7 linked regions of the Bombyx mori genome follow. The protein of the gene in region 1 purifies or fractionates together with the protein of each later gene. This does not show direct contact. Links are inferred from orthologs where the notes say so. Each region holds a gene or a part of one and is shown in the gene's direction. Other genes may lie near its edges.

Region 1 (4,185 bases):
AGATCTGAGAGCCCTTACTACTATGAAAACATAATTTTGAAAATGATCATATTTTAAGTTGGTTTTTTTTTTTGCAGATACTTGGGGTCAAGACCTGTGAAGTTATTTAAAGTAAGGGTACAAGCTGCTGAAGCAGTACTAGCTGTGTCGTCTAGAACATGGCTAGGATATCACTATCAAAATCGTTTTCACCTTACACCTCTATCTTATGAATGTTTGGAATATGCAGCAGGATTTAGTTCAGGTAAGAAATAAAAATTACTGTTTAAAATATCGACGTGTTTGCCTGGCCTTACCTTTGCAGGTGAAGCCAAGCAAGAGTGGTGTGTAGCTGTCTCATACAGTGATGAGCCCACAACGTCGTAGAGCATGTCGCCTTCCCCTTGTGGTAGAGGGTGGCACTCGGCATATTCCATAGCCAAGCTGGAGTCACTTCGACTGTGAAGGCGGCAAAACCATGCCGTGGACATATAAATATTAAATAAGTAAATATTATATTTTAATAAATAAAATTTAAATTAAAAACAAACTGCATTTGTGTTTCAGAACAATGTACTGAAGGCATTGTAGCCATATCTTCCAACACTCTGAGAATTTTGGCTTTAGAAAAATTGGGAGCTGTATTCAATCAAACATTTGTCCCTTTAGAATACACACCAAGAAAGTTTATAATAAATTCTGACAACAATCACATTATAGTTTTAGAAACTGATCACAATGCCTACACAGAGGAAATGAAAAAACACAGAAGGTATTTTTTTCTTGACAGATTTTAATTTTAATTTACACTTGACAATTTAAATGATGAAACAAAGACACACAAACCTGAAATTAATGTGGAAATCTCCTGCAGTACTGAATTAACTATTAATTATAAAAAATAAATAAGACTTTATTTGGTTATATATTATAATACATTTAATATATTGTAGAATTCAAATGGCCCAAGAAATGCGTGAAGCTGCTGCTGGAGGTGCTCCTGAAGAACAGCAACTAGCAAATGAAATGGCAGATGCTTTTCTATCTGATACTTTGCCTGAATACATTTTTTCTTCACCTAAAGCTGGAGCAGGTAACTTTCTTTTGTTTCTCTGATATATTATGGTTAAATTTACACTACACAATAAACAAACCAGAAAATAATTATCTTGCTAAATTATGCATTAAAAATTTGGCCCTTGCAAGTTTTTTATACAAAGAACCATGCATGCTTTCATATATAGCCACATTCTCTGGGCAAGAGTAGTCTACATAAAAGTAGTCTGTCTCTAATCGGATGTGGCTACATAAAATTCCCTACATTAATCCCAAATGATCTAACATTAATCATTTGATTCAAGTATGGGAAACATTAAGAAAATAATAATTGATCATTGTTAAAATGATTAAAAGGTTAACCACAAAATAGTAAAAAAAAACATTATTTCAGGCATGTGGGCATCTCTAATTCGTGTTGTTGACATGGGTATTGGTGGGGGTCAACCCAATACATTATTTAGACTTCCACTGGAGCAAAACGAAGCAGCTGTTTCTTTGTGCATAGTAAGATGGGCTGCACATGCTGAACATGCACAACCACATCTTGTGGTTGGTGTTGCAAAGGATTTGATACTGTCTCCTCGTTCTTGCACTGAAGGCAGTCTACATGTTTATAAGGTAACTTAAAAACGAATAATGAAATTTACACAATACAAAAGATTTTCCAATGATGTAAAATTATATCGCTCCGTGTTTCATCTGAAGATTTTTGACGAACACTTAACCAGATCTGAGGTTATAGAAAAAAATTAAAAGCTAGCTATCATATATTACAAAATGTAAACCTTTGAATTCTGTTTTTCAGATATATGGCAACACTGGAAAATTAGAACTTGTTCACAAAACTCCAGTAGATGAATATCCTGGTGCTATAGCAGCATTTAATGGTAGACTACTAGCTGGTGTTGGACGCATGTTAAGATTATATGATATTGGACGACGAAAACTCCTACGTAAATGTGAAAATAGACATATTCCAAATTTAATAGCAGATATAAAAACGATTGGACAGAGAATTTTTGTTTCTGATGTCCAAGAATCTGTATTTTGTGTCAAGCATAAGAAAAGAGAGAATCAATTAATTATTTTTGCTGATGATACCAATCCTAGATGGATAACAAATAGCTGTATTCTTGATTATGACACTATAGCAGTATCTGACAAATTTGGTAATGTGGCTATAATGCGGTTACCACAATCTGTAAGTGATGATGTTGATGAAGATCCTACTGGAAACAAAGCACTTTGGGACAGAGGTTAGTTCTGTGAATTAATATGCAGACTATTTAACTTTTTTTAATGCCAAAGCTAACATTTAATGTAAAAACTACACCTATTTACTCATTGATGCTAGGAAAATCCACCATTTATCTTGAAGTTGTGGATGTCTCGATCAATGGTTTTCTTACCAGAATACATCATTCCTATAATATGCAAGATAGTATTCTTATTCTACCTTACTTCCATTTAATGGAAGTAAGGTAGAATAAGAAGTATTCTGAAGTAAATTCTGGCCATAAAATATATTCTAATTTCAAATGATGATACAGAAATATTCACATGCTAGACTAATGAATTTTTATGATTCTACTTAAAATCTGAGTACATTTTAAAGTTCTTTATTCATAAATAAAATTAATTTAGAAGTAATGTTTAGATAAACTTTATTGGTTTCAGGTTTACTTAATGGTGCTTCACAAAAGGGAGATGTTGTGGTCAATTTTCATGTTGGTGAAACTGTAACCTCTCTACAGAGAGCAACATTAATTCCTGGTGGTTCTGAAGCACTACTATATGCAACAATTAGTGGGTCTCTTGGCGTTCTACTACCGTTTACATCAAGAGAAGATCATGACTTCTTTCAACATCTAGAGATGCATATGAGAAGTGAAAATTCACCATTATGTGGGCGTGACCATTTATCTTTTAGAAGTTATTACTACCCAGTAAAGGTATGTACTCACTTGTTGCATTATTGGAAAATATTGACGTTTTTATAAATTTAGTAAATTTTAAATTACATTCCGACAGTCAGTCAGCAGATGTCTTCATTCTGAAGACATTTGTGTTACACTGTTGGTATAGCAAGGCTGACGAGTTATGCACGACGTGCGATCTGCCGTTATGGTGACGCCGCCTTGCGATCGGATGCTGCATTCTTGAGAGTCGGGTTCGCTGTTATCAGCTTATCTGTAGTTTTTAGAATGAACAGTTCAACTTTATCTAATACTAGCGACCCGCCCTCGCTTCGCTTCGGAAACATTAAAACACACATGAAACCAAAAAAATAAAAAAAATAAAAATTAAAAAAGTAGCCTATGTTCATCAGGGACAATGTCGGCTTCTAATGGAAAAAGATTTTTTCAAATCGGTCCAGTAGTTTCGGAGCCTATTCGAAACAAACAAACAAACAAATCTTTCCTCTTTATAATATTAGTATAGATTCAGATTAGAAAGGAAAACAAACCCACGCATAAGATATTTCGCATAACAGGTGGTAGGACCTCTTGTGAGTCCGCACGGGTAGGTACCACCACCTTGCCTTATTCCTGCCGTGAAGCAGTAATGCGTTTCGGTTTGAAGGGTGGGGCAGCCGTTGCAACTATACTGAGACCTTAGAACTCATAAATCAGTGGGTGGCGGCATTCACGTTGTAATGTCTGGGCTCCAGTAACCACTTAATACTACGTGGGCTGTGAGCTCGACCACCCATCTAAGCACAATTTTTTATTCTTGCCCTGGAAAGGAATAAGCTCAAAAATAAACTGTTTCAACACTTTATTACTGCATTCATTTACTTACAGTCCAATTTCTGATATGCCAATTAAAAATCGCGATATTTGTTTTGTTGCAGAATGTGATTGACGGAGATCTATGTGAACAGTTTAACTCCCTAGACCCTGGAAAACAAAAAGCCATCGCAGGTGATTTGGAACGTACTCCCGCTGAAGTATCAAAAAAACTTGAAGACATTCGAACTAGATATGCGTTCTAATTAATTATAAATTAGTTAATAAGTTTTTCTATTAATATAAAAATAAAATATTGCGATAAGGTTCAACACAAGCATTTCATTACTAAAACCTTTTTTGTCCAGAAAGTATCGACTTTTATGGTCTGGTGTAAACCAAAACGGAAAAAATATAT
Region 2 (3,679 bases), on another chromosome or scaffold:
TTACTTTATCGAGAACGTTAAAAAACTCGCACTAAGCACATGGGTTGGAATCGCGACCCACTGTGAAGACCCAACGAGAAACTCGGTGATCTCCGTCTATGGGTGAATTTGCTAGTGATCGACGAGTTCGATAAGGAGGGTAGCCGGTGATTGAGAGGCCTAAAGCACGGAGAGTGAATCCGGGGGATCTCACAAGACATGTTTCGAGCGACGGTGGCTTTGCGTTGCCGCGTCGCGTTCGGATAAGAGAACATCTCCTAATGGTTCAGCTGCTGTGGAGACTTACCGGCTCGAACGCACTGACAAACAGACAAAAATCGATTTTAAGAGTTCCTTAAACAATAAAATATACTGAAATCGCTTTCATTTATTTTCCTTTTCTTTAATACGGTAATGAAATAAAGAAATTTAATTGAATATGAAGTTCGTTAACATAAAATAAGCATGGCATATACAAAATTGCTGATTATATGATCATGACTTTGTATTTTAAAATTTCCTTAAGCGCCTTATTCACGATCCATCTTGCTGTACGTCCCGCCAAGGCCATGCACGATGCACGATGCATTTAGCGCTTTATTCACGATCCGTCACGGCTGTACGTCAGCTCAAGACCGCAGTGCTGGATGTATCAAGCGCGAACAGAATAAATCGAACGAATTAAATGAGGGTTTTAAGTTAAAATGCCAGCTGCTTTATCAAAACGCCAAAAATGGGAGTCCTTCTGATGTTGTCAGCAGCAGCAGAAGAGAGGCAAAAAATAGCAAGAGGTTTTGGATGATTTTTTTAAACGTGCAGAGTATACTCAAATAATTAATATCATTTTTTACGCACGCTATCAATCCTTGCAGCTTCCCCTAAAATGGGCCTAAAAATTGTAATACGTTTATTATTTTTGGTTTATTCATATAGTCTGCGCTTGAGACATTCCACAAAAATGTGGAACTTATAACTTTCAATAAATCTTGAAAGGGTTTCACGATCCATTTTGACGTGCAGTCTCCTTTCGAAACTCTTCGTTAACTTTAATTTCAGTATTACCACCGTCTTTTTACGATTTCATCAATGTCAGTGTCGAGTTAAAAACTGACATTTAGTGGCCATAATTGTTTGTTGAAATAATACTTTTTGGCGGGAACGCGAGGAGTGAAGTTGTGTGATTTGTTTTATTTTGTCTATTTATTTAGTGTTTCTTCAGGTTGAAATGTGTAATAACGGTGGTTTATTAACTGTGTATTATCTGTGAAAGTGTACAAATGTGGGAAAATGAAACAAAGCCGCTGGATGTAACTTCTCGGGATCCTCCAAAAAGTCCACTGAAAAGATCTCAGTAAATGACCACCATTTTACTGAGATTATATTATATTTCATCCCATATCATCTCATTTCATTTTATTTCATCCCAGTCGATTAATGTCCCAAATTAATCATTTTCATTTCACTCCATATTATCATTTTTCATAAAATTAAGAATATAAATTAAAATAAGACATGACTTACAAGTCTTAGTTACCAGGTCACAAAATTCCTTACAAAAAATTGTTGAATTAAAAAGCAGAGTCACCATAGACAAAATAAAGCGTCGACTTAGCGTGTGTACGATAGTTTTGCTGTAATTGTAATCTTTTTCACTCAATTTCTCAGTTCACAAGCCCATAAAATAATACAAAATGTAAGTATTAATATGATTTACGTAGTTTTAACAATATATTTAACATATTATCTGCTTAGCCGGTAATGGTCAACAATAACTCTAATGTTAACCTTATTATAGGACGTCAACAACTAAGCCACGCTCTGAAATGACCCTAGAAGAGCTATCTAAAATCGAAGAGGAAGAGTTTAGTACCGGACCTCTTTCCGTGCTCACGCAGTCAGTAAAGAACAACACACAAGTTCTGATAAATTGCCGTAACAATAAGAAACTCCTGGGTAGAGTGAAGGCTTTCGACCGGCATTGTAACATGGTATTGGAGAATGTTAAGGAAATGTGGACTGAGGTACCGAGAACTGGCAAAGGAAAGAAGGTAAACAGATGTTACTGTATTTCAGTTCAATTGATTCAGAAATTTGAGGTTATGTATTGGAAATAGGAACCACTCCCAAGCGCTCATGTATAAAAGTGCTACAGCTCCAACTTGAAAAGTACACAATAAGACATGATGTCGCGTATTTTAGGCCAATATTAGCGGAGATAAAATACAAACCACTGGAAATTCCCAAGATGACAATTATGTGGATATGAAACATTCTGTGTTAGCTCATTTCATTAAAACTCTTCAAATTCAAAATACGTATAACTTCTGGTTTTATTTTCAGGGCAAAGCTGTAAACAAGGACAAATTCATCTCCAAAATGTTCCTCCGCGGTGATTCTGTGATCTTAGTACTAAGGAATCCTCTTGCTACAGCTGCAGGGAAGTAATGCAGTAATTAGTTTAAGTATTAATGAATAAAATATTCAGGAAATGAATAGCTTTACTGGTTCATTCCTTAAACTGTAATAATACTTTTACAAAATTGGAAACTGTGTTAGTTCTATGATTCTGCAACTATATGTAATAAATAAACAAACTCGATATTTTAATATATTGAAATTGTATCAAGTTCACATATTGTAAGATAAAGCTAAAAACGATCAGTTATTATAATGATGCATTAAAAGAGTCTCACCAGTATTGTTGTTAATATTAGCATAAAATAACTTCATATTAGTGGCTGAACATACCAAAATTGAAAAAAAGATACTTACTTTTGGTGCAAGTAGTAACTAACAATTTTGTAAAATATAGATGCTTTAACATTTTTAAAGAAACATGGCAAAATTACAATGGTCAAGAAGTCCACAAACCTGTCAATAAGTTTATAATTTCTATAATAAACCAAAGTGTAAAAGTGTGTTTTTAATATGATTTTTTTCATAGCCCCTTATTAATTTGTGCAAATTAGATCTGATGTACATCATGGGATTAAGCTGTGCAGTCCAGTCCAATATTTTGTTAACATGTTGGTTTCATGACAGACACTATGAGTCCACAGCATACTTTCCCCTAGGGTAAAAAAATGTAGTGTTTTTTCAAAAATATTCTCAAGAAATTACTCAAAAGTAATGAGTGAGGTATGGAAACAGTGACTAAGTATTGTTTTCTGAGATATTTCAAATGGCAGACAGTGTCGTCATAGACCTAAGTAAATGGTTGTTACAGGGTGTCCACCATTCCACTGGACTAAACATGATTTCTAGTCTGGTGTTCAATGTGGTAATAAAATTAGAACTGAATATATGCAAAGGTCTTCACAATAAGGGAAGAACTTCATGGAACTTTCAAAAATGAAACTATAATAAAATTACTGTTATTACTGTCTGTTTGTTATACTGTCTGTTTTTATAATAGACAACTATGTATAATAGACAACTATATGTCTCAAAGCTATGAAATCTAAATCAAAGTGAGTATGTTGGAATACAACTGCAACAGCAGGTAGATATACTTCCTGTGGTGTGTGTAGTGCGAAAGAGAAATTAATGTAAGATATTTTTTCCTGGTGGTGGTAGAACGTCTTGTGAGTCCACATGTAGGTACCACCACTGCCTATTTCTGCCGTGAAGCAGTTATGCGTTCCGGTTTGAAGGGCGGGGCAGCAGTTGTACTGTTAAAAATGAGACCTTACAATTTATG
Region 3 (3,469 bases), on another chromosome or scaffold:
TTTTATTTGACGGCGCACAAATTCCTATCAGCGATACTGTGAAAAATTTGGGTATCTTAATTGATAAAAACCTTTCATGGAACGCACAAATAAAAGAGGTTAGCCGGAAGGTGTTTGCATCAGCTGGATCGTTGAGACGGTTACGAAATTTTCTTCCAACTGCCACTAAAACTGCGCTTGCACAGTCTTTACTTCTTCCAATTCTTGACTACGCTGATTCCAGCTATCCGGATCTAACCGAAACACAACTTGATAAACTTGAGCGGCTACAAAATTTCTGCATAAGATTCATATTTGGGTTACGGAAATATGATCATATATCTGAATTTCGCACTAAGCTCAAGTGGTTACCAATTCGCCTTCGCCGCAATACTCATGTCCTTTCATTACTATACTGTACTCTCTTTAACCCCCATACCCCTACATATCTCAAAGAACGTTTCGAGTTCCTAGGTGATACGCATAATTTTTCTCTGAGATCATCAGATAACCTGAGACTGAAAATGCCGGTGCATTCATCATCATTCTTTGACAATTCATTCACCGTCCAGGCGGTTCGATTGTGGAATGCTCTGCCGGATGCAGTGAGAAGTGCTCCAACTTTAAACTGTTTTAAAAGAATGGTGAAGGAACACTACATAACTGCTTAGTGCTGTTTGTTGCATCATTATCATTTATAATTTCCATACTGTTGATTTAATAAGTGTGTGTAAATATATTAGTATGTATTGTATGTAAGTATGTATATTGGTATATATTATATTATGTAAACGGTATATATCTGTTTATTATATGTATATATTTTCTATAATAATGTATTGTATATGGTACACCGCACCTGCTATATTTTTTATATTTTACAGAATTTCTGTAAATTAAACGGTTGTCTGGAAGAGATCGCTTTTAGCGATAAGACCGCCTATTGTACATATGTGCTTTTTGACTGTTTGTTTTTTTAAAATGTAAATTGTGTTGGTGTGCAATAAAGTGTATTCTCTCTCTCTCTCTCTCTAAATAAGTCCACTGACGACAGGATATCAAGCGGTTAATGAAGCTCCTCTACTCACAGGGCATTCCTTTAACACCGTAGGTCTTAGGTCAAAGTCCCTGTAGAACTGGAGTAATCTCCTGTGATACTTTTCAAAACATATTTTATGAGTGATTTGATGCAGAAATGGACAGGAAATAGTCGTATATAACCATACAGATGCATAACACAACACACAATAGATTTACGTTGATAGCACTAAAGAAAATTCCCCCATTTGTCGTAGTCGAAGTTTGTCGAGTCGAATACTCAATTCTATTGTATAAAATCAGAATGTATAATTATCTGATGTTTAGATTCAGATACCATTGGTAGTTTCTACTTGTGAGAGCTCACAGCAATAAAGCATATTTATTTTATTTTCTTTTATCACAGTATGTTAATAGTGAATTGTGAAATTTGCTTGTGAGCATAGGCTCTATGTAATTATACTTAGACAAATTGCTAGAATTTTTTTAGTTGTAAACTTGTAAAGCTATGAAAACTCATTTTATGAAATACACTATTATTGAACCCTCTCTATTGATAAAGCACATGATGTACCTTCTATCAAGTGAAACATTCAAATTGGTCTTTGAATACTGCAGACACTTACTACTTTTTGTAAGGAAATACATATTTCATACTTGTTAATGAAATAAATTCAATGATGAAAGAATAACATTTTATATAAAAAGGAAACCTGCAAAATTTATAAATATTCATAATTACTGGTGGAATTGTAAGCCTTAACAGGCAGAAAGCATCCTGCATATTTTTCTGAACAGATTGTACTTTGAATGGTAAAATTGCTAGTTTTAACAACTAACTTTTCAAGCTTATGTCTGGTGTGTAGCAGCATTCAGATTGTTGACTTTGGGCTGTGTTAACCATTTTCCACCAGGTGGATTCTGAGCTCATTTTAAAATCTAAGCAATAGATAATGAGATTTAAAATATTTAGTTGTGAAAGACTGGAACTCTTTTATCAATAATTTCTATTAAATGACCAAAAATATCATAGTAAAATTTGTCTGGCTATTTAAATTAAGAATAAGTAAGTCATAGTAATGAAGTGTGATTATGTTAATTAATGATATGATTTCTTTCTACTTGTTTGGTGTAGTACTTGTGGTACTTTCTACTACCTTATTTGGTGTATGTGTGTCAAATTTGAGCATTTGGTCATAAAATTGACATTTGATTTACTTTATATTAACCTAATAAGAAAAATATTTTTAAAGCAATCATTTGATTTTCAATTTCAGAGGGAACACTCCAGAAACAAGAGGCACAGCATTTGTTGTTTATGAAGATATATTTGATGCAAAAAATGCCTGTGACCATCTATCTGGTTTTAATGTTTGTAACAGGTATCTGGTTGTACTCTACTATAGATCCAACAAAGCCTTTAAAGGTATTGATATTGATAAGAAACAAGAAGAAATTGATACATTGAAAAAGAAATATGGAATATCTAGTGAAGATCTGCGTAAATGATAAACTATAAAATATAAGTTTTTTTTAAGTACAATTGTTTTTAATTATTTGATTTGTATAGCTGTGTAGATTTTAAGCCAGAGAACCTATAAAAATCTTATCATTAAATAATAATGTACCAACGCGCTTTCGTAATGTCTTCCATGATAAAAACCATAATTTTTTGATTTAGCTTTTAATTCTAATCGAAGTAAATCCTGTAGAATTTATTAACTTGCGTATTATTGGTTGGACAGGTTGAAAGACCAGGTACTGGTACTTGGTCTCAACCTGTCCTTTCTGCGCGAGAGTCACGTTCTTCCTTACACTAGGCATCATCCTCAGAGGGATGATATTCAGTCTCTACATTAAGTCAATACGCGACTAGGCTGCGTTCTTACACGGTCGATTCTACCCCATGATCTGTAACGAAGTAAATTGTCCTATCGTAACAAGGATACACTATGCGACTTACATCACGCGGCTTGCTTGTATATAAACCCTCCAGGTCATCCAATCCCATTACTGCAGGATAGCTATCGCAGCGTCATGGTACGTGAGGAATCTCGACCTTCACGACGATCTAAATTTAGAATCGGTACGTAAGTAGTAAAGCAGCGTCAGAATGCTACTTCGACAAAGCGGCACGATACAATAACCCTATTATCGTGGTCGCCGCGCATTACATATGTACCGACCCAGGTCGACGGAGCAAAGCAAATCCGTCGTCGTCCGAAACATTTCTTGTCGGATCCTTCGGATCTACTTTCGGTGCTTTTAGGCACTTGAAGCACCGGTCACCGTCCTCGTCCAAGTCGTCGATTACAACGAGTGAACTAACCAAAAGACAGCCCATCGAGTTTTTCGCCTGATCTTCTCAGTGAATAGATTCCATGAAGCACTGCCCTTGTTAGGGCTGTTGGCAAATTCTCTCAAGTTAGGCCCGTAATCTCACCGTCCGCGC
Region 4 (4,780 bases), on another chromosome or scaffold:
GCTCTGAAGCCAGACCGAAGGGTAGGCATGTCATTTCATACTAACTCATAAGAAGGTACCGATTCCTTCCTGGAGGTACTGAACTGGTACCTTGGTACTGATCCTCAAGAAGTATCGACGAAATTTTGCGACTGATACTAGAAAAATATTCCTGAGAAATGTTCAATTCTATCATCCAGTCCCCTGGGTGGAGAAAGTTTGGTACCTAGGTGTCCGAAAACAGGTGTTTTATCTTTACGACCTTGTTCAACTCTCGAAGATCGAAAATTGGACGCATTGATCCGTCGCTTTTCTTCCGCAGAAAAAGGTAGTTTTTTTTTTTTTTTTTTTTTTTTTTTTGTTGTTTTTTTTTTTTTTTTTACGGTATTTGGTAACCATACATGGTTTACAAATTATTACAATTTTGGTGGCACTCAGTGCCTCAGTGCCGTCGGTGTCTTCAATTGCCCCCCTCTGGATTGTGCCAGATGTTACGGACTATGATTGTTTATAATGTTTGGCTTACCTTTTGTACGAGATCGTGACAAATAGGATTGTAGCCCTCCGAGGGACTGAATAGATTTCAATTTACTATTATCAAACAAAAATTCCTCAATGAGTGGCGCGTTGGCAACAGGATACTTTGTTAGAGACCACGGAAATTAAACTTTGACGTCTTATTTCTATACATACGGCCCTTTTTTCCGTATACAATTTAAAACGCTTTTTACGGGTAACTTGTACGACGGAGACGATTTGTCAAAGTTTTCAGTAATTATGTTACAAAGATTATTAGTTTAAATCTGTTGTGTTTTTGTCAAAATTTCCGTATTGACGAGATCAATTTGTTTACAACAATTTTCGTTACATTCAATTGTTACACACAGTTGATGCATTATTAGATTTACAACGTCACTGACCTGGTGGGATAACGAGCCGATTCGAAGATCGACCGTTACCTTTGAATCCCGTCGTTTCTTACGCAGAGACTCCTTTTGTTCTTTTTCGCTTGACGAGCTGTTCGAACGCGAGGCGTCTCCATCGCGTCTCGCCTGGACATCTTCCCTCTCGGAAATTATGGAGCTTGACTCAACATCACCTCCAACAGATGACGCGTGATTCATGGCGTCCGATGATAGGATTGGTAAATAATACTCGTAATGATTGCAAAATAACACTCATAGAAACACAAAATAAATATTTTTTGCAATTAATAAGAAGTCGAATAAATATTTGTGGACTTGCGACTTCACAGTACGAAAGTACACAACGCTATGAAGATCAAAGATGGCTGCGCTCCCTTTATACTTGCTGGCAGCACCTAGCGGCTAAAGATGGAACTAAATTGACTGTCTATGGTTGGACATAGACAAGGAATCTAAGCTAAGTACACACTGCTTCTTCATAATACAATGCTGTATGTTTTCCAAAGGCACATCAATGATTAATTAGCTATCATTATTACACATTTATACTTGAGGAAACACCAGTTCTGCGTTCGCGTCCGAAATTTGTCCTAGGGCAAGCATAGGATTTTAGTGATGATTACGTATCAGGAAATTCACTATAGCATCATTAGCCAAAAGTCGAGTAACCAACGTCCGTATAAAAAAATAACAGACGCCATTTCACGGAAACTGACTTAGATTTTATGTTGATGCCAACGCTAATTATACTAATAACGCTGAAGCGCCTTTATTACTATCTCAAGAAATAGTTACTGTATTACATATTTCCGTAAATAAGATGGGGGAAGATAAAGGTAAGTAGTTCACATATCTATCTTGTAAAGTTTTGAAGTGAGGTTATAAAATAAAATGCTCACAAATATTACAGACCGCCGACGAAGGTCTCGATCCCGAGAAAGAAAACGTTCTAGATCTCGATCTAGAGAACGAAGAGAAAAAAGAAAAAGCAGATCAAGATCGCCCAATAAACGTTCACGTAGACGTAAGCCTTCGCTTTACTGGGATGTACCGCCGCCGGGATTCGAGCATATCACGCCATTACAATACAAGGCGATGCAAGCGGCGGGTCAGATTCCTGCCAATATTGTCGCCGACACACCACAAGCTGCCGTGCCGGTGGTGGGTTCGACTATAACACGTCAAGCGCGAAGGTTATATGTCGGCAACATACCCTTTGGCGTCACCGAAGAAGAAACAATGGAGTTTTTCAATCAACAAATGCATCTATCGGGCCTGGCCCAGGCCGCCGGCAACCCTGTTTTGGCTTGCCAGATTAATTTAGATAAAAATTTTGCATTCCTTGAATTCAGATCAATTGATGAAACGACACAGGCAATGGCTTTTGACGGTATTAATTTTAAAGGGCAAAGCTTAAAGATTCGACGTCCACATGACTACCAGCCTATGCCAGGCACTGAAAACCCAGCAATAAATGTGCCTGGTAAGTAATTATGATATTGTGATATTGTTATTACAAACAACTTTTCTTATAAAAATACATTTAAACTACATTAGAAGATACTATAGATTTATCTATCAAGTAATGAGTCTTGAACTCGATTGAAAGTGCTATTTTTTATTAAGAAAATGCAATATTTAAAATAAACTGAATTTTGTTGTTATAATTCTACAGCTCTTTTTAAACTCTTGAAACAGCATTAATTACAACTAAAATACTCATTACTAGTGTCTTCATTCAAATATTATTTTGTTACAGCTGGTGTTATTAGCACTGTTGTACCTGATTCCCCACACAAGATCTTTATAGGGGGATTGCCTAATTATCTAAATGAGGACCAAGTAAGTTCCTTGTTTTATCTATTAAAATTTATAGTTGAAATTAAGCATTCAAGAAACCATAATTTAATCACATCATGATCAAAATCAAGTTTGGAGTTTTTTAAAGCTACACATGGTTTTTGGATTAAAGTAGAGGTACTTATTTTCTGTATTTTTGATGTGATCAAATTAAGCTATTATTTATAAGTACTACTTACCAAAAAGTTTTTATTTTTAAACCAAATGAAAACTCAATTCACATAAATTATGGTTGATTTATGTTTCCCACTAAAAGAAACCTTTTGATAATAAAAAAATGGTTATATTATACAACATTCTTCTCTCATTGTGATTTGTAGAGTTGTGTGTTACAGGTTTTGACCAGACAAAATGGAAATAATAATTATGTTGGTTATGATAAACATAGAATTCTCTTAGATCGACAAATTCAAGTATTTTGGACTATAATAGTTATTTCAAAATCCTACTTTAGGTAATGTTAGGACATTAAAAGAACCATGAGTTTGTTCGTTCCCAGTAGGTAGTTATAGCGTACTAGATGCCGCAACAATTTCAGGCCGAGATTCAACAGTTGACAGGACTTAGGCCCCGGTGACGCCAGCAGTGAGCCGCGTTATGTTTTGGTCCGTTTCAGGTATTTTCAGGTACCCGTAGCGTGGACGAGCGTGTGCGTACCACGCTCGGATGTTCTCAAACAACTCACTGATATAGTTTGCTTTCTGCCCTCCCTAGCTTAGATTTGGCACATTCGCGGCCCGCGTGTCACTGTTGTCTCTCATTCTCATCTATACGTCTTGTACTTGAACGAGACATCGGCACTTCAAGGCAAGTCTCTTCCATTCACATCTGATTCTAACATGCGGCTAGACACAGGTCAGATAGCATAATTCACTTATGTAATTTGCTGCATTTTGATGAACAGATTTAATGGGAACACAACAATTCAAACATACAATACAAAAAACATTAGCATTAGAAATGTCTATGCTGATCATTATGAATATGTAACGTAAATTAATACAATGCTGGGAATTAAAAGATTATTATTTGCTCACTAATTTTGTCATGAAACAGGTAAAGGAATTACTCATGTCATTTGGTCAACTCCGGGCCTTCAATTTGGTGAAAGACTCTTCAACTGGGTTGAGCAAAGGCTATGCTTTTGCTGAATATGTCGACATTTCTATGACAGATCAGGTAAATAATCATTATGTCACCCAATTTATTAATTTATTGGCTTTTGCATAGTTAAGGCCAATTTAATTTTTAAAAAAACTTTAAATCATAAATTAATTTTATTTTCACAGGCTATTGCAGGTTTAAATGGAATGCAACTTGGAGATAAAAAGTTGATTGTGCAACGTGCCAGTATAGGCGCAAAGAATTCAACTTTAGGTAAATTTTAATACAGAATATGACCTATGTTTTAGTTTTAGAATAGAAATTATAAAAGATTTTAAATAGAAATGGGATACTTTTCAGCACTGACCGGTGCAGCTCCAGTGCAAATCCAAGTGGCAGGTTTGACCTTGGCTGGAGCAGGTCCACCTACTGAAGTATTGTGCCTTCTTAACATGGTAACACCTGATGAATTGCGTGATGAAGAGGAGTATGAAGATATCCTTGAAGATATAAAGTAAGTAACATTTTGTACATGTCACACACACAAGCACTAATACATGAAATGCACACTTAAACTTCATCTAAAAATGTTCAAAATCAGAACAAGAATATAAAATTAAATCTTCATATTGGTACCTCAGTTCCAATAAGTAAAGTAACAATTCAGATTTCATATTAGTTTTAGCAGTGTATAAAGCATTTCGTTTTTCATAACACATTATTCTTCATAATGTAATAAAAATAAATAAATAAAATAGAAATAAGAATAACTTCCTGATAAACTATTCACATTTATTTAAGCTTTTTTTTAATTGTTACTGCATGGAACATAAGTACAAGTCATATAAATGAAACAACAAAAATGATTTCTTTCATAGACTTCTTTCTTTTTGAAAATTATAGTTTACAAT
Region 5 (4,890 bases), on another chromosome or scaffold:
AAACGGTATTGCTTGTCCGCGCGCTAATTGAACAAACTAAACATACAATTTTATGTGTTGCGGGCAACTGATCCTAGTGAAGCTTCAAATAATTTAGCGAACTCCGTCAATTGAGGCACAAACAACACAATTAAAAGTAACAGCGGCTACAAGCCTTGCGATTTAATCTTTGTGCGCTCTGGTAGGTCAATATGTGATGTTTCGATTCCTGGTCTCGAACCAGAAACTGTTGACGCACGGCGTAAGATAGCTGCAGCTAGGATAAAACAAGCGAGTACAATAATGACACACAACATTAATATAAAAAAAAAAGCTCATGTTTATAAGAAAAGGCATTTTGTATCTTAGAGACAGGCGCCAACTGGTTAGTAGCGCCGCTAGGATTAATACCAAATTAGACGATTTGTCCTCAGGTCCGTATGTAGTAACTAAAGTAGTAGGTAACAATTGTTATCGAATTAGAAGTATATCTAAAAGGTTTACGAAGTTATAAAAACTTCACTGGCCTGGTATCAACAGATTCATTAAAGCCCTATAAAAGTATAGCCCATGTGTCCGATAGCGCTAGTAGTTCCGATGAGCAGCTCGAAACTGAAGACCTTATTGATTTATTTGAGAACTAAATGTTTTTGTGTGTTCCCCATTGCGGGAGCAATTGTTGCAGGATGGCCGAATGTAACGGACGTGACGTCAGCTGTCATGCCCTGCCGCCAGCCAAGCCGCCAAGCCATATTAACACGCCCCTTCCGCCACAGCCACCGCCACCGCCGCCAGCCAAAGCCAACGAAGGGGGGATAGTGTTAATAAAACAAGCCGTGCCAGCCATTTCTAACTACTTTTCTGCATTCTTGCACAAATAAAAGAACTTGTCGTTACGCTGCTGGTTTTTATTGTCACATCAATTGCAACACGTTATATGGAATTATAGGCGTCAAAATACTTAACTATAACTTAATTTTTAATACATTTTATTATTTAGAATAAGTCTATCTACAAAATGTATATTTTCTGGCAATCAGTCCATGATCTCAGCAATATATGCCAGTGTCTTGCAATATATCTTTTTAACGTTTTATTACTCAATAAAACGTTCGTGTAGTCCTTTTTTGGCAGGCACGCGAAAAGCAAAGCTGTGGCAATTGTTTTATTTTGTTAATGTCGGGTTTCTTCAGGTTTAAACGTGTAATAGCGGTGGTTTATTATTTGCTTAGTGCATAAATGTTAGAAAATGAAACAAAACCGAAAAGCTGCTGGACGTTACTGAACAAGGCTTTTGGGTTCTTCCAAAAAGTCTACTGCAGTCTTATAAAATAGCCACCATTTTATTGAGAACTTATTCACATTATCTAGTTTCACTTAATATCATCCCAATTGATTACGATTTCAAATAAATCAACTTCATTTCATTTCATTCAAATCATTTTTCACTACATAATATTCACTTTCATTTAAATGGGAAATATATTATGTAAAAATTACGCTGTATTGTGTGATACCCTCGCTGTTCATGTTGGAAAAATGGAAAACTAATACTGTCAAATAAGCTAGTGTCAAATTGAGTTTCACTTTGACATTTGTACAAACAATTCGTGATTATGTTTGGCGCTTGTTAATTTGTGTTGTGAATTAAAAGCATTACAGTATTGCATGGGAGTTAGTCTTAATCAAGATGCCTGCGTTTCTTAAATATATCGATATGGAAAATTTCAAGACCTATAGAGGACATCACCGCATAGGTCCTCTGAAGTCTTTTACCGCTGTTGTTGGCCCTAATGGATCAGGTACTAATGACCTAAGAAAACCTTACATTTTTCCCATAGTCTATCTTTTAACCGTTTCTTAATATTATTATTTTCATGCTATAGAGCGAACACCGATTTCATTTTCAACAAAAATTGAAATACATTAAGGCGTCGTGTTCAAAACGTTTCCCTCGCTTTTCCAACAAACAGAAGTTGCTTTATGAATAGTAGTATTGTCACCAATTAAAAGAACAAGTTTCCTGCTTTGCTAAAAACAATTACGAGGGAACTTCTTTGTTAATACTGCTTTTTTGTGAAATTGTAAAAAAAAATCCATTAGACCACTGTTATAACAAATAACTTAAAATTTACATTTCTTAAAAGGAAAGTCCAACTTCATGGACGCTGTGAGCTTTGTGATGGGTGAGAAGACATCATTGTTGCGTGTGAAGAGGTTGAGTGACTTGATCCATGGTGCTTCAATCAACAAACCTGTTTCTCGAAGGTGAATTCTTCTTTCCACTTGATAACAAGATCATTGTATATTTTTTTCAAAATGTTCAAAAGTTATATTTTTTAGAATAATTATTTTAAACCAAACTTGTGCTGTAGACTTCTGTGTTGTATGAACAATTATAAGATAGAATTTTTTTAATTTAATAATTTTCAATTAATAAATCACAATTTATAGAAAGACTACCCAACTACTCTGAATAATAATTGATTTCTCAATATAGGTTACTTTTTCTTTTTTCATTGCTTAGGTGGGTGGACGAGCACACGGCCCACCTGGTGTGAAGTGGTTACCAGAGCCCATAGACATGTACAGCGTAAATGCTGCCACCCACCTTGAGATATCAGTTCCAAGGTCTCAGTATAGTTAAAAATGTTAATGTCTTGATCCATTTAACCATGAATTTATTCCAGTGCATCTGTTACGGCAACGTTTGTTCTGGAAGACATGACTGAGAAACATTTCCAGAGATCAGTGATTGGACAATCGTCTGAACATAAAATTGATGGCCAGGTAAAAGATTGTGATTTTTGTAACAAGTTCCTGTTTTATGTTAAGTTGAATAACAAGGATTACTGGTGATCTACCCCATAGAATGCAGGTGAAGGGTGGGCCACCATGTATTAGGCTTCTCATTGCTTATTTTTGCCACGAAGCAGCCATGCTCTCTCATTTGAAAGGGGGACAGCCCTATAATATGACTTTAATTTTATGTTTTTTTTTTTATTGCTTAGATGGATGGACGAGCTGACAGCCCACCTGGTGTTAAGTGGTTACTGGAGCCCATAGACATCCACAACGTAAATGCGCCACCCACCTTGGTAGTTACAACAGTTGCCCCACACTTCAAACCGAAACGCATTACTGCTTCACGGCAGAAATAGGCAGGGTGATGGTACCCACCCGCGCGGACTCACAAGTGGTCCTACCACCAGTAGAAATGAAAACCAGTAGAATGTCTCAAGTGATTAAAGCAATGGTAAACCAGAATGGTTGTGATGAATATGATTTCTAGATACTTCACACTAGATAAGCCCTGAGCCTGTGCCTTAGCCTTATTTAACCTAAAAAAAAAGATGATGAAACTAATCTGAAGTGAAGCTCTCTTTGTAATATGAAATCATAGGTTATGGACATCACCTGATTGGCTTTTTATTGCAAAGCAACTTCATGTTCAGGCATACCAGCACTCCCATATGTACAGTATATTCACATCTGATCAGATGTGCTATGTGTATGAAATAAATGAATCCTTTTTTTAACAGTCTGTATCAGTAAGTAACTATCTTGGTGAACTAGAGAAATTGGGCATCAATGTGAAAGCCAAGAACTTCCTAGTCTTCCAGGGTGCCGTCGAGAGCATTGCCATGAAGAATCCTAAAGAAAGGACTACTCTGTTTGAGGAGATCAGCGGGTAACATATTTTTCTAAGTGTTGTCACCATCATGATCATAATTTATATCACAAACTTCGTTAGTCTTTTACAATAGATAAAAGATTACCTAAAAGACATGTTTTAATCAAAGTTTCAATACAAACTTATTTGCTCCCTCACTCAAATCAAACAATACAATTAGAGGAAATAAAAAATTGCATACTACCATCCACTGGTACCACCCGACCATACAGTAAATTCTGCATCCTCTACACTAGTAGCAGTATATGTTTTATTTAATTACATATAATATTTAATATGTAGGTCTGGAGTGTTAAAGGAACAGTATGAAGCTTGCCGTGCTGAAGTAAACCGAGCTGATGAGGAGGCTCAATTCTCCTATCAGAAAAAGAAGGGAGTGGCAGCTGAGAGGAAAGAAGCAAAGTTTGAGAAGGAAGAAGCGGAGAAATACACAAGACTTAAGCAAGAATTGGTGAGAATTAAACTATTAAACTACATATTACAAAAATGTGGAAGCATTGCAATCATGTTTGTGAGTATATTTTAATGAAAACAGCAATGAATTAAACTATAATTATACCAACCTCGAGATCACACGCGTTTCGATTATTTTTAGTGTTTTTCCCGTTTTTTCTGTGTTTTTAAGAATTGTGTTGCCCTATTTTTGTTGGTGGTGGATTAGTTTAAGTTTCATTTAACTGGTAAGTGTATTTTTTATGTCAATGTCGTCCTCGGTGGGCGAAAATGTCCCGCCGGACAGAGGGAGGTCTTCTTTAGATTCAGAGATGGACGATCTTTCTCTAATACTTAATTCTCCTGTAAAAGCTTCACAAAAACGCCCTGCGGAAGACGTATTAAGCGTCCCAGAAAAAAGATCAGCTCCACATTTACCGGCAGCTGCCTCTAATCAACATACCTACACCCGGCCAGGTTTTGATAACAATTCAGTTCTTAATTACTCTGAAACTGACTCTGGCCCTTTTGTTGTCCATGTATCTCGTTCAGATGGTGACTTTGCCCCAGTTTCGAACCACACCCGTACCCTTAAAATTGCTCAAATTATTTACAATGGTAAGATCTCAGGGATAGATGAAATTAAAAACATGGGTAGAAATAGGGCTGCTATTATTTTTAAAACATATAACGAAGCGAATTCATTTTTAACAAACCCATTACTTTCATCTAACAAATTGTCAGCAATTATTCCACGCTTTCAAGTTACCAGGATGGGTGTCGTG
Region 6 (3,621 bases), on another chromosome or scaffold:
TAAGTCAAGTCTTATTTTAATTTATATTCTTATTTTTATGAAAATGATAACATCGAGTGAAATAAAATGAAATGAAGATTATTAATTTGAGACATTAATCAACTGGGATGAAATTAAATGAAATGAAATGAGATGATATAGGATGAAATATAATCTCAGAAAAGTGGTTGTCATTTACTAACATTTTTTTCAGTGGACTTTATGGAGGATCCCGAGAAGTTATGTCCAGCGGCTTTGTTTCATTTTCCCACATTTGTGCACTTTCACAGATATTAAACAGCTAATAAACCACCGTTATTACACATTTAAACCTGAAGAAACACTAAAAAGACAAAATAAAACAAATCACACAGCTTCACTCCTCGCTTTCCCGCCAAAAAGTCAACATAATAGCAAATAAAAAATAAGACAGATTAGTAAAAACAGACAGTATTATCTAATAGGTTGGGGAAAAAGTATTATCGCATTATAGCATGTATGAATAAGCAGGCAAAGAGCGTGGCTTATACACGCTAGTCTGTCGTAGTTATATTTTTTTTATGTCATTAAAAAGCCGGTGTATCTCTTTTTATTGCTTTTTGGAAGTTTTGACGTCAACTCGATGAATAGCACATTGAGTGAGCGTGAATTTCCGCAGACCTTTTATCTTGAAAAAAAGACAGTTATGTTAGCCACAGTTTTATTCCAATGTCCCAACCATCGTGAACAACGATTATTGACATTTAATACACAAAACAACACCCATTTATATATTATACATCACAATAAACTATTAAAAAAACATTAAAATAAAACTTCAAGTGACGCTTAACTCGGGTTGCTGCCAAAACTCTGATCATTTAAAATAAGAATAGAGTAATGGTAGGCCATTGAGATTTTTACTAATGGAATCATTAACATCTAAAAATATTAAATAATTCATGGTTTTAAGTAATAATTATTATTACAATATATAAATATAGAATTGAACAAAAATAAACTTAAAAGTCTGTGAATTATAACCATTAGCAATTTTTTTTAATTTATTGTTCAAGTCACAGACAACTCTTTCGTTTGGCAGTATATACTTTACTAAAAGGTTTACTATAAGGCTGTATGGGCTAAACCCTTTGCCTATTGACGAATTTAAAAACCATGGCACTTAGTTTTGGGATGTTATCAAATAAGTAATTTATTTTTTTGTAAAACAATGCCAGGGTGAAAGAAATGTTGATACATAAACTAAACAACGTGAAAAAATAAGACATAGTTTTTCAAGTACAAATAGTTTTGACATAAAGTTGGCCCACTTTTGGGCATTGTCCTTTCTATAGTAATGGGATCATGTCTCTACCTACAAGATGGCAAAAAGTTATCGAACAAAATGGTACTTGCATACTTTAGTTAAATGTAAATAAACTATTTTCCTATATTAAAAAATGTTGTGAATTTTCTTACAAAATGCGAAGAAACTTTTCTCCCAACCTATTATGTTACAAATACTAAATAGCTTGTGCTATATATATAATATCTAAGATTTGGCTTTATGGTGTAACACTTTTGCCTTTCCAGTTGGAAAAATAAAACTACAAACTACTACTATTATGCTCTACATAAATAATTATTACTAGAGATTTATTGTTATGACAATGGAAAAAATCAACATTAATTTAAAAAATAAATTCAACGAAAGTGAAGTGAATCCTGTAACTGATATCATTGACTACCTAGTAAGAAGTGCAAATATATCCTTTAAGAATTCCCATGCTAATGAACAACCGGTAAGGACATGTGAGAAACTGCAAATGGCCCTTGAAATTTATAAAAGATCACCTGTAGAATTCCTCATGCAATTCGGAAAATATTTAGCTCCTAATCACATAAAATACTTTGAAAATATCTCTAGCTCCAAAGATCAAACATTTAGGAATTACGTGCACTATTTGAGTGACTATCATTCGGAAACAAGCAGACGCAAGAGGATAAAGAACAGAAGATATAAGGCATTACAAAAAATGAAGATTAAAACTGATTATTTTAGTGAAAAACAAATGATGTACAGAAATCCTCTTTTATATGAACAGTTGGTTGGGCAATATTTAACAGATGAAGAAATAAAAGAAAGAGATCGAATAACTGAAAACGCCAGTTTTCTTAACTTAATATTGGAAACTGTAGATCACAACCACATGAGAGAGGTGAAGAATGTGCAAATGCTCGAAGAAGGTATTCATGAAACACCAGAAGCTTCTGAATTTTCTTTGAATGATAGTACTAATGAAAACATAAATTTTCAACACAAAAGAAAATGGGGTGAATTCACTACCCCAGATACGAAACCTGACTATATTCCAGAAAACAGAAAACACAGAGTTATTAGTGCTCCAGAAAAGAAGTTATTGTATGATGAGTTCCTTCAAGAAATGTATAGCAGCTTTATAGATGGTAATGATATTGACATTGATTATAAAACTATTGATAATGATGAGCAGTATGATGATTTAGAGCAGGAGTCACAAGATGCAGAAGATAAATATTTTGATTCTGAAACAAATGATGTTGAGAACTTAGAAGAACACATGCACCTTGTAGAGGAATATGGTCAAAGTAAAATAAATAATCTTGAAAAAGATGACCCTCTTGATGTGTTTATGGAGCATATATCTAAGAAGTTTCAACTGAATTAAATGATTGTTTACTAATATGAAAAGTTCAATAATATTAAAGTAATTATAATCTTTAGGTTAATTTCCCAACCAATGTCTTTTCTTTTCTCATAAACCATCAACATTATTATCAGTTAAAGTTTCTGTCTAAGTTCAACTAGTAAAAAATGAGATGAGAGATTATTTCATAAGATGCAAAACACTGCTCATCCACACTATTTTCACATACTTTTTTGTTGTGTACCATCCAATTTTGGACTCTTCTGAGCACTATAACATATATTTCTTTAAATGAGGTTTGAAAAGAATCCTCAGCAGTAGGTAGTGACCAAGCGATGTACCTTTGAAGTCACAAGCATTAGAATGAAAAAAATAATTCGCAATAAAAAGTGATAGTATTAAAATACAGAAAAAAATCAGATCGGTCTGTCTTTAATTTTGAATAAAGACTATTTTTTATATTACTTTGTTATTTGTACTGAACAAAAATTTTTATTTTCATTGCAGTAAGCTTAGGTAAGAGTTTTTGGTTGACAGCAACTTGCCTGCGTAAAATAGCAGAAGCACATAGGAATGGCTAGTACTTATGATCAACAAGATAGGTTAGGAATATTTATTGTGTTCATGTGAAGCAGGGCACCTAGTGTTGAGTGGTTACTGGAATCCAAAGATGTTACAACGGGAATGCCACTACCCACCTTTACAATTTCATTGACAATAGTGTGTCATCCACAGAAATGAATTAAATTAACGTGGCTCTGGTAAGTTTGATCTGAATGGCAGATTGGCTCTCTTTTTTTTTGCCTGTAATATTTCCCTCATGAAATAACTTAATTCCAACATTTATGAATCATAGGGCCAAAATCTAAGACATGTGGGCTCCCATATAATGTTATGACACAAGACAGTTTTTTTTAAAACCTCGTATAGTCATATGCTCATCTGTCAATAAGCGCAATAAAAACAATTGTTCGGG
Region 7 (4,185 bases), on another chromosome or scaffold:
TTACAAATTAAAGTTATTTGTATTGAGTAGAATTGAATGAATAAATAGAATACAAGCCTACAGTTTTCTTGGTGTGATATTTTATTAGAATACACATAGTGTAGAAGCATTTTTTTTATTACTTAAATTGTATTAATCCACAGGGACACAATGGACAATACAACTACACAAAAGTACTGGCTTGATATACAGCTTCGTTGGGGTGATTACGATTCTCACGACATCGAAAGATATGCTCGTGCTAAATTCTTGGATTACACTACAGACAACATGTCTATATATCCTTCACCTACCGGTTTGCTGATCGCCATTGATTTGGCCTATAACTTGCACAGGTAAGAGAAAGTAATCCTAAAGATTTTAAATTTATATAATATATTAGGAATCACATCAAGAATTCATACAATTGTCTTTTTATAGCCAAGATGCTCTTCATGTCTTACCTGATCTGAATGAATATGTCTCCGAACCTCTTTGAGAAGGCCAGCACAGTCTTTCAAAATGCGGCAGAGCCATATTTCTGAATTATAGTTTGACACAAAATAAATAATGAAAATTTTACCAAATCAATCATTTTCGATAGTAATTTCTAGACAAAATATTTAATACTCATTGAAGTTTACTTGAGAAGTTCTAAAATAGTTTAAATAAGTGTCATTATTGTAGTAAACAAATACAAATTATTGTATTACCTGATGGTATTGAGTTTCAGAATTAGATCAGTTTGTATTTTAGTATAATCAACAAAGTTATAAAAATAACAATTTTTTTACAGTGCATACGGTAACTGGTTCCCCGGTTGCAAACCTCTTATTCAACAAGCGATGGCCAAGATAATGAAAGCTAATCCTGCCTTGTATGTGCTTAGGGAACGTATACGTAAAGCACTGCAATTGTATTCTTCAGAACCTACTGAACCTTACCTCTCCAGTCAGAACTATGGAGAATTGTTCTCTAATCAAATCATTTGGTGCGTATATTTATATATAAAAAATGTATATTTATTTCGACTATCAATTTTGAACAAGATTTTTATGTACATATAACTTTTTTTTTTCGAAACGTAACATAACAAACATTAAATTTATTCTTTTCTGATCACATTAATTTTATTTTATGAACAGGTTCGTTGATGACACGAATGTGTATCGTGTAACAATTCACAAAACCTTTGAAGGAAACTTGACAACTAAACCCATCAATGGAGCCATTTTTATATTCAATCCCCGAACTGGACAGCTATTCCTTAAAATAATTCATACTAGTGTATGGGCAGGGCAGAAACGTCTTGGACAGGTTTGTTTTTTACTTTTGTTAATAGAAAGAAGAGGCTAGAATATGATCCCCATTAAAATCACCTACTAAATTCGAATTAAACTTATATATTTCATTCTAATCATCTATTTTACTTATGATCTTAAATGTGGCTGGTTTTGTGTTTTTTTTTCTTTCTGGAATATGATAATGAGTAGAATATGTATGTTGATTCATTCATTAAATATTCATATGCATGTTGCATTGAAATAATTCATACCAAATATCCTGAAAATTTCGTAAATGTTAGATAACTGCTAGAAAACAAAACTTTGGTTTTTAGCTTGCTAAATGGAAGACTGCAGAAGAAGTAGCTGCCTTAATTCGATCACTGCCAGTTGAAGAACAACCAAAACAAATTATTGTTACCAGAAAAGGAATGTTGGATCCACTTGAGGTAAATAAGATAATATCTGAAGTTTGTTTTATTAATCAAAATATCATACTAACTTTAATAAATATCAAATAAACTCATTCATACAATACAAATATGTAAAATATACTGTGAAAAACTTTAAACAATCCATTAAACATCCACAGGTCCATTTACTCGACTTTCCTAACATTGTAATCAAGGGTTCCGAACTGCAGCTGCCATTCCAGGCTTGTTTGAAAGTGGAAAAGTTTGGTGACCTCATATTGAAGGCAACTGAGCCTCAAATGGTCTTGTTCAACTTATATGATGACTGGCTAAAGACTATATCTTCATATACTGTAAGTTATGTTTCTTCAAAAGATAAATAAATACATTTCAATATTTTATAATGAACATATCTTATAATCAAAATGATGAATTGCGTAGGGGTCCTGAAACCAGAGAGTCCCTGTGCTCTGGGGGCTAACAGTGACTATGGACTTGCTGATCGCAATGTACTGTAGCTCTGTCTGTCTGAAAATACGCTAACTGATTTAAACAATATACACTGAATAAAAGTGAAAATAATAATTGAAGAAAAATTGTTAAATATTATAATTTGTTAACACCTAGGCCTTCAGTCGGCTTATCCTGATACTCCGTGCTTTGCACGTGAACACAGAACGCACAAAGGTCCTCTTGAAACCTGATAAAACCACTTTCACGGAACCTCACCACATTTGGCCCACTTTAACTGATGATGATTGGATCAAAGTTGAGGTTCAACTGAAGGACCTAATATTAGCTGATTATGGAAAGAAGAACAAGTGAGTTTTCAATAATAATATAAATCTCTTTATTGTACATAAATACTACTACAAATTCGTAAAATAAATGATCAGATAAATGCCCATTAAGTGTTTTTGAAAATTTAAAACAATATATTAATTTTTTTAATTACTATTTTATCTTGTAACCAGGAGCCTTAATACTTTAGCAGTATTCATAACTACATTAAAATACATTAACTTTTAACACGATTTTACTAACAGTGTAAATGTGGCGTCGCTCACACAATCGGAAATCCGTGACATCATTCTTGGTATGGAGATATCTGCACCCTCTGCACAGCGTCAACAAATTGCCGAGATCGAAAAGCAGAGTAAAGAACAGAGTCAACTTACCGCGACCACAACGCGTACTGTAAACAAACATGGAGATGAAATTATAACCTCAACGACGAGCAATTATGAGTCGCAGACGTTTAGGTGAGACTTTTTAGGAATTCTTTCTTTCACATTACTTTTATGGCTATGATTATATGATCTTCCACTAATTGTATGGGGCATGTTTTAATTTGGATGGTTTTTCGCAGCTCTAAGACTGAATGGCGTGTCCGTGCGATATCAGCCACCAATTTACATCTTCGTACAAATCATATTTACGTGAGTTCCGATGACATCAAGGAAAGCGGATACACCTACATTCTGCCGAAGAACCTACTTAAGAAATTCGTTACCATTTCCGATTTAAGGGCACAGGTAACTTATAAATTTTACCTTATGAGCTACCAGTGAAACCAGGCCACACTGTTGTGATTATCCCTAAATATGTAAAATATATGGGATATTTCAATTCTTTTCAATAATTTGTTTTAAAATCAACATTATTAAAGAATGTACAGCCATCACATGGTCATGTGTCCACTAACGACACTGATCCCCTTCAAGGAGACTATGTTACTTATCTACAAATGATGGCAACAAAAAATACAAGACATCTCGGCTGTCCAATTTCAAAACCTAGTATCTGACAAATTTAAAAAAAAGTGTGTTTTTGCATTTTTCGACCTTGTAGACCATTCTCCACATATTAGGATAGCAAAAACCCCCAAAAATTTGTAAAAAACGAAGTTACACAAAGTCGGAAACCTAGTATCTACAGTAAAGGTTTTCAAAATGCAAAAATTACAAGATTAGAACATAGTATATAACATCAACCATTTTAAAAACCTAATAAGTGCTTGTAGTTACTTGGATTTAAAATGGTTCATGCAGATACTAAGGCAATGAAATGGTTGAAATAAACGTCAAAACTCCCGCGAAACTTTAGTAAGTGAGAAAATCGTTGCACGTTGTTCGTGTTTTTGTCTATAAAATGAGTAAAAATCAGTTTTATAGGTCGAAATTGATCTTGAATGCTTTAAAAGAACAACATGGTGAAATGTAAGTACGCTTCAGTGTGTTTTATTATTGTCAAGGTTTTTTGTTTTCCAAAATTGCAACCTACTACGACACATAAAGTAAATGAAGGTGCAAATATTCCAGAGGATGTTAAAACTGCATACGGGGATCACAAAGCTAGAGCAAGTAAAGCAATACAAAAGTATCAAGAAGATGCCTCCCTAGAAAATACTTCCTCTGTGAGATACTATTCGATGGATTTACAAAAAGTTATGTTGTTACCCGACATGCCTAAAGTCAAAGAATCGTTTTTCTTGAGTAGAATGATAACTT

What was found.
Region 2: the proteins of splicing factor 3B subunit 3 (region 1) and small nuclear ribonucleoprotein sm d2 fractionate together in Homo sapiens (co-fractionation; 4 studies listed by BioGRID and IntAct, with this or other methods). This does not show direct contact. The link is inferred for Bombyx mori from reciprocal best matches to the Homo sapiens genes SF3B3 and SNRPD2.
Region 3: the proteins of splicing factor 3B subunit 3 (region 1) and 14 kDa subunit splicing factor 3b fractionate together in Homo sapiens (co-fractionation; 5 studies listed by BioGRID and IntAct, with this or other methods). This does not show direct contact. The link is inferred for Bombyx mori from reciprocal best matches to the Homo sapiens genes SF3B3 and SF3B6.
Region 4: the proteins of splicing factor 3B subunit 3 (region 1) and U2 small nuclear ribonucleoprotein auxiliary factor 2 purify together in Homo sapiens (affinity purification with mass spectrometry; 4 studies listed by BioGRID and IntAct, with this or other methods). This does not show direct contact. The link is inferred for Bombyx mori from reciprocal best matches to the Homo sapiens genes SF3B3 and U2AF2.
Region 5: the proteins of splicing factor 3B subunit 3 (region 1) and structural maintenance of chromosomes protein 1A fractionate together in Homo sapiens (co-fractionation; 3 studies listed by BioGRID, with this or other methods). This does not show direct contact. The link is inferred for Bombyx mori from reciprocal best matches to the Homo sapiens genes SF3B3 and SMC1A.
Region 6: the proteins of splicing factor 3B subunit 3 (region 1) and coiled-coil domain-containing protein 97 purify together in Homo sapiens (affinity purification with mass spectrometry; 3 studies listed by BioGRID and IntAct, counting the BioPlex papers as one, with this or other methods). This does not show direct contact. The link is inferred for Bombyx mori from reciprocal best matches to the Homo sapiens genes SF3B3 and CCDC97.
Region 7: the proteins of splicing factor 3B subunit 3 (region 1) and pre-mRNA-processing-splicing factor 8 fractionate together in Homo sapiens (co-fractionation; 4 studies listed by BioGRID, with this or other methods). This does not show direct contact. The link is inferred for Bombyx mori from reciprocal best matches to the Homo sapiens genes SF3B3 and PRPF8.

What each region holds. Positions count from the first base shown.
Region 1 is NC_085117.1:14,808,069-14,812,253, reverse strand, and holds the end of splicing factor 3B subunit 3, read left to right. Parts: intron 1-77; coding exon 78-244; intron 245-546; coding exon 547-751; intron 752-932; coding exon 933-1,072; intron 1,073-1,429; coding exon 1,430-1,656; intron 1,657-1,843; coding exon 1,844-2,294; intron 2,295-2,715; coding exon 2,716-2,990; intron 2,991-3,892; coding exon 3,893-4,033; 3' UTR 4,034-4,104; downstream 4,105-4,185. UniProt on the Homo sapiens protein: Component of the 17S U2 SnRNP complex of the spliceosome, a large ribonucleoprotein complex that removes introns from transcribed pre-mRNAs.
Region 2 is NC_085132.1:3,761,594-3,765,272, reverse strand, and holds small nuclear ribonucleoprotein sm d2, read left to right. Parts: upstream 1-1,594; 5' UTR 1,595-1,670; coding exon 1,671-1,672; intron 1,673-1,774; coding exon 1,775-2,027; intron 2,028-2,319; coding exon 2,320-2,424; 3' UTR 2,425-2,675; downstream 2,676-3,679. UniProt on the Homo sapiens protein: Plays a role in pre-mRNA splicing as a core component of the spliceosomal U1, U2, U4 and U5 small nuclear ribonucleoproteins (snRNPs), the building blocks of the spliceosome.
Region 3 is NC_085111.1:9,664,636-9,668,104, reverse strand, and holds the end of 14 kDa subunit splicing factor 3b, read left to right. Parts: intron 1-2,294; coding exon 2,295-2,526; 3' UTR 2,527-2,735; downstream 2,736-3,469.
Region 4 is NC_085123.1:10,727,371-10,732,150, forward strand, and holds the start of U2 small nuclear ribonucleoprotein auxiliary factor 2, read left to right. Parts: upstream 1-1,600; 5' UTR 1,601-1,725; coding exon 1,726-1,741; intron 1,742-1,815; coding exon 1,816-2,388; intron 2,389-2,664; coding exon 2,665-2,747; intron 2,748-3,821; coding exon 3,822-3,944; intron 3,945-4,054; coding exon 4,055-4,142; intron 4,143-4,229; coding exon 4,230-4,383; intron 4,384-4,780. UniProt on the Homo sapiens protein: Plays a role in pre-mRNA splicing and 3'-end processing. By recruiting PRPF19 and the PRP19C/Prp19 complex/NTC/Nineteen complex to the RNA polymerase II C-terminal domain (CTD), and thereby pre-mRNA, may couple transcription to splicing.
Region 5 is NC_085114.1:15,703,431-15,708,320, reverse strand, and holds the start of structural maintenance of chromosomes protein 1A, read left to right. Parts: upstream 1-1,536; 5' UTR 1,537-1,669; coding exon 1,670-1,781; intron 1,782-2,126; coding exon 2,127-2,247; intron 2,248-2,669; coding exon 2,670-2,769; intron 2,770-3,521; coding exon 3,522-3,670; intron 3,671-3,955; coding exon 3,956-4,124; intron 4,125-4,890. UniProt on the Homo sapiens protein: Involved in chromosome cohesion during cell cycle and in DNA repair. Central component of cohesin complex. The cohesin complex is required for the cohesion of sister chromatids after DNA replication.
Region 6 is NC_085118.1:10,065,788-10,069,408, forward strand, and holds coiled-coil domain-containing protein 97, read left to right. Parts: upstream 1-1,540; 5' UTR 1,541-1,622; coding exon 1,623-2,666; 3' UTR 2,667-2,735; downstream 2,736-3,621. UniProt on the Homo sapiens protein: May play a role pre-mRNA splicing through the association with the splicing factor SF3B complex which is involved in branch-site recognition.
Region 7 is NC_085114.1:12,602,858-12,607,042, forward strand, and holds part of pre-mRNA-processing-splicing factor 8, read left to right. Parts: intron 1-143; coding exon 144-335; intron 336-775; coding exon 776-970; intron 971-1,124; coding exon 1,125-1,296; intron 1,297-1,597; coding exon 1,598-1,711; intron 1,712-1,854; coding exon 1,855-2,028; intron 2,029-2,302; coding exon 2,303-2,496; intron 2,497-2,721; coding exon 2,722-2,937; intron 2,938-3,044; coding exon 3,045-3,210; intron 3,211-4,185. UniProt on the Homo sapiens protein: Plays a role in pre-mRNA splicing as core component of precatalytic, catalytic and postcatalytic spliceosomal complexes, both of the predominant U2-type spliceosome and the minor U12-type spliceosome.